Nothobranchius furzeri: one gene and its partner. The main gene of each other region encodes a partner of the protein of the gene in region 2 in a complex. Links are inferred from orthologs where the notes say so. Each region holds a gene or a part of one and is shown on either strand. Other genes may lie near its edges. The genes, in order: pigu and pigs.

Region 1 (3,919 bases), on a different chromosome or scaffold from region 2:
AAAAACACAAGAACAGAAACGAATAACAGAAAAAACAAAGGGTTAATGAACAAAAAATAGTAGATTTATTAAATCATCTGATGTGCGTCAATGTGACCCAGCCCCACAGAGTGAGTTAGTTTAACCTGCTAAAAGATGACTTGACATGTTTTGTTTTGACAGTTCGTTACTTTAAATCATTGGGTTTAAATGAAACAATTTGATTGAAAATAAGTAAAAGACGTCTCCTAGACATTATAATCCAGCGAAGTTAGCTAAATCCAGAAAAGTATACCCTTTTGGAAAGCTAAAGCTAACTTCAAAATAGCAGGTTAGCGTGCGCAAGTTCCCCTAGAAAATCGATTGCTTAATGTCTCCTTCAATAACATAAAATAATCACGTCAGAAACTGTGTAAATGACATTATTATTCTGTACAATATCTTACTGCTGATCTATCGGCATTTATTAGTTTAATTAAAACCTTGTACTTTTTCAATAACGTGTAATTTCATGTCTGATCTTTTGTCTGTTCGTTTCTTTTATGAAGCATAAATAGTGAAACCCTTGTTACAAAAATAACAAACCAGGTCAACAGGTCAGGTTACTGTTTGTCCATTTTCTGCATCATCTGAATCTGACCCAGCTTCAAACAGCCGATTTTACTCACATCATCTCCAGACCCGATACACCTGTATCCATTCTTTATCATTTCCCAGTGAACGAAGCACACAACGGCGTCATGCGGGCAGCTGATGCTACCTGCGACACAGGTGTACAACACCTCCAAGCCTGCCATGTTTCTTTAGTGTCTCGACATCAACACAGCATCAAAACGACGAAAAGAAAACGAAAGTCTTCCCATTTGCAACCTAGAAACTTCTAGCACTTCCTGTCTGGGGATTTCAATGTAAAAGCACCGCAAAAAATTCGTTGCAAGGCCAGGCGCCTTGACATTGAGAAACACTCTTATAGATACATTCTGTAGATATTTGTACTGAGTATTTTTACACAAAAGTAATGAAAATGATCTGTATTACATCTGTGTTCTAAATGAAATCCAAAAAAAAATTATAAAATGTGCAAAAAACCAAACACAAAAAATAATTATGATCAGAATTTTACAAGAACGTAATGCCTTTTCAAGTAAAATAGAAGACGAATAATAGTTTATGTGAACTTTATTTTGTTTTATTTATGTAGTTGTCTTTTTAGACAACATACTTCATTTCCCATCATGCCTTGTACCGGCAGGGCGGAAAGCGCTTCCTTGTGAAGATGGCGGCTCCCTTGACTCTACTTTTAGTTGTAGCCGTTACAATCCGCGCGGCTCTTTACAGATCCTCTCTAGCGGAGGTAATCGCGGAGCGGGTGGAGGTGGTGTCACCCATTACCGCCTGGAAACGAGGTAAGCGCGGGTGCGGCTGTCGTCCGGATCCCAGTTGTTCGGTTAAAATTCCGGTTCCTTCCTGCATCTTCGTCTGAACGATGCTGTCAAGTCAAACCAGTTCCGATACAAAAGACGGAGAGTCCTGATCGGCTTGCAAAAACAAATCCAGACAAGCCTAGACAAGTGCTGATTTCTTATAAAAATGTTGAATAATGTGTGTGGATGCTACATGTGTCATGCTTCAGCCCCTGTAAAGTAAAACCAGATCATTACAAGGTGATTGATGATATTAGCTCTACCATAGAGGATAACACAGATGTTGTTTGTTTTTTGCAGTTATTGAGGGTTTGGCACTGCTTGATCTTGGAGTTTCACCATACTCAGGAGATGTGTTCCATGAGGTAGGAGATCCGCACATTAAATACCTATCATGTTATCAGGCCATGACAGCATTTGTGTCTGCTTTAGGGGTTAGGTGATGAGCTGATTTCAAATCCTCAAGGATTTAAATGTGTTGCCAATCTGCCAAAGTAATAATAGTAGGATTGTCACAAACTATTTATCAGAATGATTGGGAAATGTTGCTGCCCAGATCGATTTGGATGCAACACACTCAGGGCCTGATCACATTATTGTGTATTTATGGTATTTATGGCCCAGTCCCAATACTCACACCTCCACACTTGTGCCTTTTAATATCATGTTCCCAGCCAGGGGTGCAAGTGCATAGGGTGTCCCGATTTTCAAGTGCAGGAAGTGACCAAGCTCATTTTGCACCCTTGATCTGCACTTTTCCCAGGTCTGTATCAATGTGGACTTGGGTGACCCACAGTTACCCACAATCTATTCCTGCGTGTTAAGTTTGAGAAGAAGGCAGGGCAATGGCTCAAGTGCCTTTTCTGAAAATTTGTATTTTCAAATGAAAGAAATTTTAAGACGATTAATGACATTTATTCATGTTGTGAATTTTTTAAGACTAAGGTTTAATGTGGACGGCAATGAATTTCAATTTAGGGTCTCCAAAAAGGGTGGGTAGTCTGAACTGTAGTTTGGTGCATAAGCACTGACCACAGTCAGAACCCGTCCCCCCACACGTAGGCGGAGGGAGGCTACCCTCTGATTCACTGGGGTAAACCTCAACATACAGGCACCAAGATGGGGGGCAACTAATATGCCCACCCCTGCTCAGCGCCTCTCAGTGGAAGCAACTCCAGAGTGGTAGAAAGTCCAACCCCTCTCAAGGAAACTGGTTCCAGAGCCAGAGCCATGCATTGAGATGAGTCAGACTATATCTAGTTGGAACCTCTCAACGTCACACACCAACTCAGGCTCCTTCCCCACCAGAGAGGTGACATTCCATGTGCCAAGAGCCAGCTTCTGTAGCCGAGGATCAGACAGCCAAGGTCCCTGCCCTCGACTACCACCCGTCACACACTGCACCTGACCCCTTTGGCCCCTCCCACGAGTGGTGAGCCCATGGGAAGGGGGATCCACATTTCCTCTTCGGGCTGTGCCCGGCTGGGCTCCATGGGTGAAAGCCCATCCACCAGGCGCTCGCCAACATGCCCCACCTCCAGGCCTGGCTCCAGAGGGGGGCCCCCGTGACCCATGTCCGGGCGAGGGAACACAGTTTCCATTTATATAATTCATCATAAGAGGTCTTTGGGTTGCTCTTTGTCTGATCCCTCACCTAGGACCTGTTTGCCATGGGTGACCCTACCAGACGCAAAAAGCCTCAGACAACTTAGCTCCTAGGATCATTGAAACACTCAAACCCCTCCACCACGGTAAGGTGGCAGCCCACGGAGAGGAACTTACTACGCACTTACTACATGGACTGAAATGCTTGCCCTGGTTTTCTCCATGTTTAATGCTCCTTCTGTCATCCTGGAAGAGAGCGTTAAAGCTTGCAAAATACACAGCCATTTTCTTCTCCATGTCTGAATCTCATGTCAATGATGTCAATATGGTGAGACACAATTGTAGTCCTAAATGTCTTTTCACACAAAACCTAAAATCACTGTTCGAAAATAGCGAATAACAGAGTCTTGGCATAAATGTGTCTTTAAAATTCACGGACGTCAAATGTAAAATCCGTGGCACATATCAAACAGGGTCAGAAAATAACTTTTATCCGCTCATAGACTCCGATTCATTTTTGGGAGCAGTGGGACACCCATGGACCAGAAGTGGGTGGGTGTGGCTTAGGCTCCCCCCAAAAAAACAAGTAGAAGTAAAGATGTTCTTACTTGGTGAGGATTTTCAGTGTTGGTCTGTTAGCATAACTTCAAAATGAGTTGGTGATTTACATCATGGTGAGGTTAACTGTCAGCTGTGGCATTAGGTTAGCATTATTAGCAGCTATTAGCATAAGGTAGATAATTAACCTATATGTTACAGCATCCCCCCCCCCCTCCTTTAGGGCTGCTTTAACATAGAGAGCATGTTTTGTTTCATTTTTGTGAAAATTTACTTTAAATATGAAAAATCATTATTTTACTTTTAAACTAAAATAATGATTTGACATTTGCCACAACCCTCAACCCAAGTTT
Region 2 (3,919 bases):
TTTTCCACACAACGACTCCACATGAGACGGTCCAGCTCCCAGTCGGCTAATCCTGAACTTCCACGTGGTGCCACCAGGAAGCCGGGGGGAGGGGGGGATGACTGCACACCCAGCAGGAGTCTGGCAGGGAAAAAAATTAGGAAACTTTGTACACGGGCAAGAAATATTAAAATGTTTGCTAGGAGAGTGACGCTTACCGAAGCTGAGCGAGAAACACTCCCATGACTTCAGCCATGTTGATGCTGATGTCAACAGGAAGCTCAGCCTCTGGCTCATAGAAACCGTTCACATTATAAACCTAAAGAAATAATGGATAGACTTTTTCCCCATCATCACACCTTCACTGCTCCGATGGGTGTTTTCAATAAATAACAATCTATTTTCTTTCATTCGGGTGAGAGAAAATTAAATATTTTACCATAATTCCACCCCAACGAGGAGAATGAAACGCATTCGAGGGCACTTCCTGTTTCCTATGATCCTGGATTTTAAGAGGGGAATGGTGAGCATCAGGAACGTACAAAAGGAAATTCAGCACTGGGTTGGAAGATGCAGCATTAGAACCTGGAAATCAAACATTTTTATGTTATCATAAAGCAACACAGTGGATTCAAATCCCTAAAATTCCTATTTTACCAAGTCTGGCCTCCACCGGGTTGATGACGTGTGCGAGGCTGTCTGCATTTAGCGTGTAGGCATCGCAGCTGCTGTCAAAGCGTGGTTTGACCCCGAGCACAGAGTAGTACAACGTCTGTAAGAACACAAGTATAGGGTTGAGGGTTATCTTTTGACGTGCTCTGCGCCTGACTGAATGTCCACCAAAACGGAGTTTCATACCTGAGAGTCGATGCTAAAGTTGGCCACGGGGGAGAGTTTTGTGAGCAAAGGCTGGATGTAGGTCTGCACAGCACCTTCGATGTCCCAGTGGAGCTGGTGTGACGTTGGGTCGGGGTTCAACAGACTAAATGTTATCTCATAACCTAAAGGAAAATAAAAATAAACAGAAAACAGAGTTTTTTTCACACCAACTTTAACCACACCAACTTTATTCATGGCTGAATAAAAGCCAACCTGGGCTGGATTTGAAGGCTCTCATGCTATCAGCAATGCCCTCTTTGCTGTCTGGGTTGAAACGGACTCGGTCACTGAGGACAGCAGAGACGTCGGTGTGGCTGAAAGACATCACTTGCAGCACCTGTTTGATGCGAGGCTCCAGTTGGGCCAGGAGCTGCTCGAGTGTCCTACCCACACCCACCTGGGAGCTGACACGAAGCAGAGCAGTTCGACGCTGACCGATGTACACATCTGTGTCCTGCAAAGCATAAAAACACGTCCGAATTTTTCACGACACGGGTCGAAGTAAATAAGGAGCAGAGTATAAAATACTAGCAGATTTGACCTTAGGCAGCAATAGGGACAGCTCTGGGATCACATAAAAAACCAGAGAACCGCACGGACTCTCGCTGAGTGTGTGCAGAGATTCATCTGCTCCTAAAAAACAAGACACAGAAAAATAACTGCGTGTAATTTCACCAAACCATTCATTTGAGATTTAACCTTTAACTGACCAGCAGCAGTGGGCTTGTTCAGTGCATCCTCCTCCATGATCGTAGCTGTGCGGTACCTCGTCTCAAACCTGTACCTTAACATTGTATCTCCTGTAAGCACAACATAAACACACAAAATGAGCATGCACGCTTCATCCTCCGAAACAACCTCCTAAACCACTTCATTAAATCACCGTCCACTGCATGTTCCTCTTCCTGTGTTTGTGTCAGTGGAACCTTCTTCTGCTGCTCGGGGGTCACAGTACCACGAGCAAAGACGACCTCTACGTCAGCGCTCAGCTGGAGCTGCAAAACAGAAAAAATAAAACACGAATAAGCAAACTCCCACGAGACAAAAAGGTTGTTTTAGGAGTCAGAAACTAACCTGTAGCTTTGCCAGCTGTTTTATCTGACTGACAGGTAACCAGGCACGGTAGGTTTCTGTGGTTCGCCACCATAGAGGGACTCCAACGATGATCACCACAGCTGCTATGGACAAAGCAGCAAGCTGACCTCGTCTGCGCTCTGAAAGAAAGACCAACACAGAAAAGAGTTCTGCTACAGAAATTCTACAATGGATGCAAAATGTCTTGTAAGAAATTACCTCTGCCTATTTGTTTGTGTGTTACTGATGTGTCAAATACTTAATCTATTTCTATCACTAAACTTAGAATCACTTCACAGTAATATTAACTGATGCTATTAAAATAAATAAATGGTTGTAACTACATAAGAACAGGATAAAAACACAACATTTTATTTCCCTTCATTAACATCTAACTGTGTACAGAAGCAACATGTTTTCATCGATTAGTTTGGGGTTAACTTTGGCATTAAAATAATAAATAAAAATTATAAGCTAAATAAACTTTGAACCTATTAGATTTTTTCATGGATGCATGGGTTTTATTCAGCTTATTATAGAAGAACAGACGGTTGCAAATAAAAATAATTGTTTAAAACTACATCTAAAACGAAGCTAGCTGTTATAAATGCACATTTTCCTGGAAACCACAATGCTAACGCGAGCTAGCGCTCAACAAAAATGGTTCTTAACGTCATGAAAACAAATGTCTCCAGCTAAAAGTGAATGTAGCTACAGGACGTCTTAAAAAGTCTGTAAATGGACCCCAAAGTACAGTTAAATTTTTTACTCTGACTAAACTAAAATGTTAAAACATAATGTGACATTCTATCTACTCACCCACTTCCGCGGTGGCCATTATTTGCAATGAACCGGGTGTGCTCGGTTTCATCACCAACACAACATTGAGTCACGTGACACATATTTCATCTGACTCAGACAAGAATAAAGGAGGTAATATATATATATATATATTCAATTAAAGTTTATTTATATAGCGCCAATTCACGACAAGAGTCGTCTCAAGGCACTTCACAAAATAAACATTCCAATTCACAGTTCATTAAGCCAATCAGAAATAATGTGTCCTATATAAGGAACCCAGCAAATTGCATCAAGTCACTGACTAGTGTCAGTGACTATACAGCAATTCTCATACTAAGCAAGCATGCAACGACAGTGGAGAGGAAAACTCCCTATTAACAGGAAGAAACCTCCAGAGGATCCTGGCTCAGTATAAGCAGCCATCCTCCACGACTCACTGGGGATCGAGACGACAGAACACACACACACACACACACACACACACACACACACACACACACACACACACACACACACACACACACACTCTAATGTGTCTACAGTTCTATTGTGATGTCTTAGTAAATATTCTATTTGGTGAGATAAACTTTATTGTATTTATCCTAGTGGATCTCTAAATGGGTAAACTAGCAGTAACACGTCTATATATATATATATTAAAAGTACAATAATTTTGTGATAAATGTATTATTACACTTGGAGAACTGTGATTGCTTCAGAGACAGAAAGTCATCGGGCGATCCTGAAAAAATATTAAACACACACGTGAAGGGGAAACTTTCGCCCCTTTGTGACAGTTTTAATTAACGTCACCTTTAGTGATCACATTTTTTTCGTATCACTGACTTGTCTTGAATACCTTTAAACCTGCAATTTAAGCATGTAACACTCCCAGTTTGACTCGTTCATAATAAGCAGCTTTAGAAGAAAATCAGAAGGATGTAGCAGGTAGTTCAGGGTGTTCTTTTCAAAATACTGCTACTAGAACCGTTATTATTTTAACACAATAAACTACAGAATACTCTCCAACTGTTTAATATTCCTAACATTCAAGCCAGCTGCCATTGTTGGTTTAAAGGTAAGGAAGTCCTAATGTTATGGTTCAATAATGTGTACATATGAATAAGCAACAGTAATGTAATATTAGTAGCAGGAGTTTCTTGGATGCATAATTCATCTAAAA

What was found.
Region 1: the proteins of pigs (region 2) and pigu are in contact, whole or in part, in a cryo-EM structure (PDB 8IMX), measured with the Homo sapiens proteins. The link is inferred for Nothobranchius furzeri from reciprocal best matches to the Homo sapiens genes PIGS and PIGU. Residues at the interface, in NP_149975.1 of Homo sapiens: Ala4, Gly5, Ala8, Thr9, Glu12, Arg15, Arg18, Ala19, Phe22, Phe23, Val26, Leu30, Leu34, Trp35, Thr38, Thr39, Leu510, Leu511, Phe513, Ile521, Tyr522, Leu525, Phe526; in NP_536724.1 of Homo sapiens: Gln118, Phe282, Glu283, His284, Phe285, Leu287, Phe288, Phe289, Cys291, Val292, Phe293, Ile295, Phe299, Tyr300, Ile302, Pro303, Ile306, Lys307, Lys309, Glu310, Thr417, His418.

What each region holds. Positions count from the first base shown.
Region 1 is NC_091743.1:68,645,068-68,648,986, forward strand, and holds the start of pigu (phosphatidylinositol glycan anchor biosynthesis class U protein), read left to right. Parts: upstream 1-1,214; 5' UTR 1,215-1,255; coding exon 1,256-1,385; intron 1,386-1,703; coding exon 1,704-1,768; intron 1,769-3,919. Other genes in the region: psmf1 (proteasome inhibitor PI31 subunit), read right to left, coding at 648-776. UniProt on the Homo sapiens protein: Component of the glycosylphosphatidylinositol-anchor (GPI-anchor) transamidase (GPI-T) complex that catalyzes the formation of the linkage between a proprotein and a GPI-anchor and participates in GPI anchored protein biosynthesis.
Region 2 is NC_091750.1:65,604,611-65,608,529, reverse strand, and holds the start of pigs (GPI transamidase component PIG-S), read right to left. Parts: upstream 2,842-3,919; 5' UTR 2,804-2,841; coding exon 2,752-2,803; intron 2,720-2,751; exon of another isoform or gene 2,152-2,719; intron 2,073-2,151; coding exon 1,933-2,072; intron 1,854-1,932; coding exon 1,742-1,853; intron 1,659-1,741; coding exon 1,569-1,658; intron 1,492-1,568; coding exon 1,400-1,491; intron 1,313-1,399; coding exon 1,072-1,312; intron 981-1,071; coding exon 838-980; intron 752-837; coding exon 637-751; intron 565-636; coding exon 419-564; intron 299-418; coding exon 198-298; intron 121-197; coding exon 1-120. UniProt on the Homo sapiens protein: Component of the glycosylphosphatidylinositol-anchor (GPI-anchor) transamidase (GPI-T) complex that catalyzes the formation of the linkage between a proprotein and a GPI-anchor and participates in GPI anchored protein biosynthesis.